Saccharomyces cerevisiae S288C: one gene and its partner. Changing the gene in region 1 together with any one later gene gives a genetic interaction. Each region holds a gene or a part of one and is shown on either strand. Other genes may lie near its edges.

Region 1 (3,744 bases):
CCTATCTCCGATACCTGCCTCTATTGATACGAACGACATTCCTTTAATTGCTAACGATTTAAAATTACTGGAAACGCAAGCAAAATTGATAAATATTCTGCAAGGTGTTCCTTTCTACTTGCCAGTAAATTTAACCAAAATTGAAAGTCTGTTAGAAACCTTGACTATGGGCGTGAGTAATACAGTAGACTTATATTTTCATGACAACGAAGTCAGAAAAGAATGGAAAGACACTTTAAATTTTATCAATACCATTGTTTATACAAATTTTTTCCTTTTTGTTCAAAACGAATCCTCTTTGTCCATGGCAGTTCAACATTCTTCTAACAACAATAAGACCTCGAACTCTGAAAGATGTGCAAAGGATCTGATGAAAATTATTTCTAATATGCACATTTTTTACTCAATAACATTTAATTTTATCTTCCCCATAAAGTCGATAAAGTCATTTTCAAGCGGCAATAATCGCTTTCATTCTAATGGTAAAGAATTTTTATTCGCAAATCATTTTATTGAAATCTTACAGAATTTTATAGCAATCACATTTGCTATTTTCCAACGTTGTGAAGTAATATTATATGACGAATTTTACAAAAATCTTTCAAATGAGGAGATTAATGTTCAATTGCTATTGATTCATGACAAGATTTTGGAAATTTTAAAAAAAATAGAAATTATCGTATCCTTTTTACGAGATGAAATGAATAGCAACGGAAGTTTCAAATCTATTAAAGGTTTCAACAAGGTTTTGAATCTGATTAAATATATGCTGAGATTTAGCAAGAAAAAACAAAATTTTGCGAGAAACTCTGATAACAATAATGTTACAGATTATAGTCAGTCGGCGAAGAACAAAAATGTTCTCTTGAAATTCCCCGTTAGTGAACTGAACAGAATCTATTTAAAATTTAAGGAGATTTCAGATTTTTTAATGGAAAGAGAAGTTGTCCAAAGGAGTATAATTATTGACAAGGATTTGGAATCTGATAATCTGGGTATTACTACGGCAAACTTCAACGATTTCTATGATGCATTTTATAATTAGTAAGCCGATCCCATTACCGACATTTGGGCGCTATACGTGCATATGTTCATGTATGTATCTGTATTTAAAACACTTTTGTATTATTTTTCCTCATATATGTGTATAGGTTTATACGGATGATTTAATTATTACTTCACCACCCTTTATTTCAGGCTGATATCTTAGCCTTGTTACTAGTTAGAAAAAGACATTTTTGCTGTCAGTCACTGTCAAGAGATTCTTTTGCTGGCATTTCTTCTAGAAGCAAAAAGAGCGATGCGTCTTTTCCGCTGAACCGTTCCAGCAAAAAAGACTACCAACGCAATATGGATTGTCAGAATCATATAAAAGAGAAGCAAATAACTCCTTGTCTTGTATCAATTGCATTATAATATCTTCTTGTTAGTGCAATATCATATAGAAGTCATCGAAATAGATATTAAGAAAAACAAACTGTACAATCAATCAATCAATCATCACATAAAATGTTCAGCGAATTAATTAACTTCCAAAATGAAGGTCATGAGTGCCAATGCCAATGTGGTAGCTGCAAAAATAATGAACAATGCCAAAAATCATGTAGCTGCCCAACGGGGTGTAACAGCGACGACAAATGCCCCTGCGGTAACAAGTCTGAAGAAACCAAGAAGTCATGCTGCTCTGGGAAATGAAACGAATAGTCTTTAATATATTCATCTAACTATTTGCTGTTTTTAATTTTTAAAAGGAGAAGGAAGTTTAATCGACGATTCTACTCAGTTTGAGTACACTTATGTATTTTGTTTAGATACTTTGTTAATTTATAGGTATACGTTAATAATTAAGAAAAGGAAATAAAGTATCTCCATATGTCGCCCCAAGAATAAAATATTATTACCAAATTCTAGTTTGCCTAACTTACAACTCTGTATAGAATCCCCAGATTTCGAATAAAAAAAAAAAAAAAAGCTATTCATGGTACCCGCTGCTGAAAACCTATCTCCGATACCTGCCTCTATTGATACGAACGACATTCCTTTAATTGCTAACGATTTAAAATTACTGGAAACGCAAGCAAAATTGATAAATATTCTGCAAGGTGTTCCTTTCTACTTGCCAGTAAATTTAACCAAAATTGAAAGTCTGTTAGAAACCTTGACTATGGGCGTGAGTAATACAGTAGACTTATATTTTCATGACAACGAAGTCAGAAAAGAATGGAAAGACACTTTAAATTTTATCAATACCATTGTTTATACAAATTTTTTCCTTTTTGTTCAAAACGAATCCTCTTTGTCCATGGCAGTTCAACATTCTTCTAACAACAATAAGACCTCGAACTCTGAAAGATGTGCAAAGGATCTGATGAAAATTATTTCTAATATGCACATTTTTTACTCAATAACATTTAATTTTATCTTCCCCATAAAGTCGATAAAGTCATTTTCAAGCGGCAATAATCGCTTTCATTCTAATGGTAAAGAATTTTTATTCGCAAATCATTTTATTGAAATCTTACAGAATTTTATAGCAATCACATTTGCTATTTTCCAACGTTGTGAAGTAATATTATATGACGAATTTTACAAAAATCTTTCAAATGAGGAGATTAATGTTCAATTGCTATTGATTCATGACAAGATTTTGGAAATTTTAAAAAAAATAGAAATTATCGTATCCTTTTTACGAGATGAAATGAATAGCAACGGAAGTTTCAAATCTATTAAAGGTTTCAACAAGGTTTTGAATCTGATTAAATATATGCTGAGATTTAGCAAGAAAAAACAAAATTTTGCGAGAAACTCTGATAACAATAATGTTACAGATTATAGTCAGTCGGCGAAGAACAAAAATGTTCTCTTGAAATTCCCCGTTAGTGAACTGAACAGAATCTATTTAAAATTTAAGGAGATTTCAGATTTTTTAATGGAAAGAGAAGTTGTCCAAAGGAGTATAATTATTGACAAGGATTTGGAATCTGATAATCTGGGTATTACTACGGCAAACTTCAACGATTTCTATGATGCATTTTATAATTAGTAAGCCGATCCCATTACCGACATTTGGGCGCTATACGTGCATATGTTCATGTATGTATCTGTATTTAAAACACTTTTGTATTATTTTTCCTCATATATGTGTATAGGTTTATACGGATGATTTAATTATTACTTCACCACCCTTTATTTCAGGCTGATATCTTAGCCTTGTTACTAGTTAGAAAAAGACATTTTTGCTGTCAGTCACTGTCAAGAGATTCTTTTGCTGGCATTTCTTCTAGAAGCAAAAAGAGCGATGCGTCTTTTCCGCTGAACCGTTCCAGCAAAAAAGACTACCAACGCAATATGGATTGTCAGAATCATATAAAAGAGAAGCAAATAACTCCTTGTCTTGTATCAATTGCATTATAATATCTTCTTGTTAGTGCAATATCATATAGAAGTCATCGAAATAGATATTAAGAAAAACAAACTGTACAATCAATCAATCAATCATCACATAAAATGTTCAGCGAATTAATTAACTTCCAAAATGAAGGTCATGAGTGCCAATGCCAATGTGGTAGCTGCAAAAATAATGAACAATGCCAAAAATCATGTAGCTGCCCAACGGGGTGTAACAGCGACGACAAATGCCCCTGCGGTAACAAGTCTGAAGAAACCAAGAAGTCATGCTGCTCTGGGAAATGAAACGAATAGTCTTTAATATATTCATCTAACTATTTGCTGTTTTTAATTTTT
Region 2 (4,192 bases), on another chromosome or scaffold:
TGAAAATGTTCTAGTTAGAGATTTACGTATACTGATCGCTTGCCTTCGCAAGGGATGGAAATCCCTTGAAAATTAAAAAAATCCCCCCCTAAGCAGCGAAAATTGTAAGATCCATAATATTTAAGAAATGACGAAGAACGTAGTCTTATCGCAGCAGTTTTCCAAACAAAGAATGCCATTCATCAAATAATCCACAACCACCTCAAGAAAAATGGTGAAATTACAAAGGTTTAGCGAAAAGAAAAGCCTCATACACGAATTCGGCAAGTTTATCCTTGAAAAGCAAGAATCGGCGTTAACGGGCGACGCTGATGCAGTGTTCAATATCGCCATCAGTGGAGGATCGATGAACCAAGCGCTGTACGAAAGTTTGGTAAATGACAAAAACATTTTTCCACATATTAAGTGGCCACAATGGAGAATCTTCTTCTGTGACGAAAGATTGGTTCCATTTGAGGATCCGCAAAGTAACTATGGTCAGTTCAAAAAAACAGTTTTGGACCCGCTAGTGCATCAGGGCAACCAATTGAACTTAGGCCCCACTGTATACACTATCAACGAATCATTAATCGGTGGCGGTGAAACGGCCAATAGAAAGATTGCCGAAGAATACGCTTCCATGCTGCCTGCATCATTCGACCTAATCTTACTCGGATGCGGAGAAGATGGACATACATGCTCGTTGTTTCCCGGGGTTGAATTTAATTACCTTGTAGAAGAGATGGACCGCAAGGTTTTATGGTGTAATAATTCGCCCAAGGCACCCAAGGACAGGATCACCTTTACATTAGCAGTAGTAGCCGAGGCTAAAAGTGTGTGCTTTCTCGTTAGGGGAGCTGCTAAAAAGGCTATCATGCATGACGTGTTAATCGTAAAAAATAGCGAACTACCTAGTGTGCTGGTTAATGAAATGGTCGGAACCAAAGTAACTTGGTTTCTCGACGACGAAGCTGGCGCCTTGATTCCTGAAAACTGCTAATTACACTCGTCTTTATACGAAACTGGCTCCGTTAATCACGACAGACAACCTTAATTACATTACATAATAATAAATAAATGACAACTGTCTTCTTTACAGCGTATGTTGGAGCTTACTCCCGAAGCATAAACCCAGTTCTTCTAGAAGAATTGACAGCAGAAAGGAAAGGGGTACCGAAGGCAAACTCAACCTTAAAAGTTCCGTAAGCAACCGAGCCTCCGCGAAGGTTGCATAACTTAAAAGAAAAACATAGCTCACCCGGTGATACCGTTACAACGCGTTAATCTTAATGCTATGACTCGGAACCACCTGCAAAACAGCGCTAACGGAAATTTCCATGGAAATAGAATAAGGGACGCAGCAGGGTTTTTTTTTTTGGCGAGCACACGAAATATAAAATTGCTTCGGGCCAGCTGCATGGAAGGGTTAATTTCGCCCCTTTATCGCAAGCTACGCAGTTCTCCTGGCTCGAGAATGAATCTGGCCCGCCGCAGACGTTTCCTGGCCCCAGATTAGGAAGCAGCGGCGGCGGAACGGAAGGTGCTCTAAGCAAAATAAGGAATATTAGCCACGCCGGTAATTCCCCTCCTTTGGTCTGCCCCTGGTCTGCCCCTTTCGTTTTTTATTTTTTTTTGGGTGAACGGAATACTCCGTGGGCGGCACAAGGAGAGCCTGCGTAGGAATCTGTGCGTCTCAGTCGGGCGGGCCGATTTAGCACCGATGGTTCGCTTTGGCTTGGGCTTACGGTGACTGCGAGATTTGCAGATTAGTGCATATCCGCGCCTTTGTATGACGTGAAGCGATCCGCCCTGAACAACTTGTTACGTATATGATGTTGACTCTGCGCCCCCGTCTCTCTGGTTGCTGCCTTCTGCGCTGATTTGGTGCAATCTTTCTTTTTTGTCTTTGAAAGATTTAAGCTTTTTTTCGAGAAGAAAAAGGAGGAACCGAAAAAATAATCTTTCAGTTGTTGACCCGTAGAGCAGAAAATGGAAGGCAGTAGATATCCATATCGAAGGAAAAGCACAAACTTATCACGTTTAGGGTATTCATTAACGTTGAAGTAATCAGGTAGTGAATAGCTCGAAGTTTTCCATGCTTTCCTTTCGGTTGCATCTTTCTTCCTTTGGGGTTTTATCTTGATACGTCGTTACTTACCTTTTTTTCCAATATATATATATTGGTAGTAGCTGATCATTGCAGAAGATCTAGATCTCCTTTACACGCTTTAAGGTTAGGCAGCTGTAACCCCTATATTGAATTTTCACCCACGCCATAAAATACAATAGCTCAGAGAACCGGTGGCCACATGCAACCTAAAACTTTCGTCCACCAACTTCATGCAATTCTTCTGGAACCGGAAGTAAATAAATGGATATACTGGTCTCCGACTGATAACACGGTATTTTTTTTGAAGCCATATGACCCTAATTTTAGTACACATGTTCTGAAGCGTTATTTCAAACATGGAAATGTCAATAGTTTTGTTCGTCAACTACACATGTACGGGTTTCATAAACTATCTCATCCTTCCCCAGACCAATCTTCTGCCAACAATGGTAACGTTAAAGAACTTGTTGAATGGAAATTTACCCACCCATCTGGATTCTTCTTCAAAGAGGCCAACGCCGGTATCTTGAATAAAATCCAAAGAAAGAGCACTGGTGTGGGAAAAGATGGTAAAAGAAAGAATATACTGTCACCAATATCTGTCAGTTACGTTGATGCTTCGAGGTTAAATGTTCTCTCTCAGCAATCCGGACCAGTTTCTGCAAGAGAACCATCAAACATGTTTATGGGCAGTCCCGTCCATTACTCAACATCCCAAAGTCCTCCACATATCAGTATACCGCAACAGCAACAAAGTAGTGGACCTTACCTAATATCTTCACTGCCCCCTCAACAACCCACGGTGAACATGATGCGAAGGCAAAGCATCTCGGCGAGGATGATGAATTCTTATGACTATCCCAATCAATTTTCCACCCAAGATAGCATAGTCCAGCCTCAGCAGCCGCAACAAGTACTTTCTCCACAAGCATTATCTGGACCTCCGATGAAGAAATCAGGAACACTATCTTCGACAGATGATCTGAAAACAACTTCCTTGCCAATTGTTAATTACCCAATGCCGTATCATCCTGGAGCTTTTGCCCAGCAGCAGCAGCAGCAGCAGCAACCGCTCCCTACAGTCCCGCCATATAGCAGTTACTCCACTCCATTTCCCTCAATGATGAACTCTCTTTCGAACTCTGCTTCTAACTCACCTGCTTTAGGAGTTTGTAATAATAATGTAACACTACCCAAAAAAAGCAATATAAGTGAAAGGCAAGCTTTGGATAACCATATACAAACTTTAAAGAACTCTCTATCAACAATCACTGATTTGATAGAAAAACATATTAACAGCGCATCGCAAGATGAAAATAAAACTCTAACTAATGATGCCATGAACAAAGACCTTCGAACAAGCTTATCCCTATTACAGAATTCCAAGGAGGAAATCATTCAACTTGAAAGTAAATGGATGTCTATGCAATCTGTTAAAACAACTGCCCTACCCCTTCAAGAGACTACGAATACATCATCGACCTTAACTTCTCTGACGTCCAGCATAATTCCCAAGAGTATACCTATAATCACGAAAGGTGAAGTCGCCACTAAACCAGCATCTTACTGAATTATTTTCAACAGAACACATCGCATCCAACTGAACAAACTGTTACCGCTGTTGATACCAAGGAACATTCAGTGAACGTAGGGAAGAACGAACATTCTCCATATTTTTGCATACTAGATACAAGGGGGAAGAATGCAATTATTTCACAAACCGAAAGAAAAAGAATCACAAGCTATGTTTGCTATTATCAATTTTTCTTATGATTAATTTAACATAAATTATGGCCTTTTTCATTCCGGCTGCGCTTGTTCTCCAATTTTTTTTTTTTTTTTGAGAAAACTTTAAAAATTTCAAATGTAAGAAAGTAGAGCAGATCTTTTAGCAAGGATCCGCTTAACATTCCAACAAAAAAGGAAAAATAAAACAATAATTTCGTTCCCCATCTATCCTTCGCCTCTCCTTCGCTCTGTAATTTTTTTTACTCGCGCGCTTCCGACTTTTGAAAGAAGGAGCAATAAAGTTAAATAAATGTAATTAAATTATGCTTTTTTAGGCAAGTTCGGGACTTTGTTGCCACGTATTGCTCTTCTATG

Evidence for each region.
Region 2: mutations in YHR054C (region 1) and MGA1 together harm fitness more than expected from each alone (negative genetic interaction), as found in Saccharomyces cerevisiae (one large-scale study listed by BioGRID).

What each region holds. Positions count from the first base shown.
Region 1 is NC_001140.6:212,484-216,227, reverse strand, and holds YHR054C (uncharacterized protein), read left to right. Parts: upstream 1-1,978; coding exon 1,979-3,043; downstream 3,044-3,744. Other genes in the region: RSC30 (Rsc30p), read left to right, coding at 1-1,045; metallothionein CUP1-2, read left to right, coding at 1,510-1,695; YHR054C-B (uncharacterized protein), read left to right, coding at 1,538-1,711; metallothionein CUP1-1, read left to right, coding at 3,508-3,693; YHR052C-B (uncharacterized protein), read left to right, coding at 3,536-3,709.
Region 2 is NC_001139.9:985,761-989,952, forward strand, and holds MGA1 (Mga1p), read left to right. Parts: upstream 1-2,288; coding exon 2,289-3,659; downstream 3,660-4,192. Other genes in the region: 6-phosphogluconolactonase SOL4, read left to right, coding at 212-979.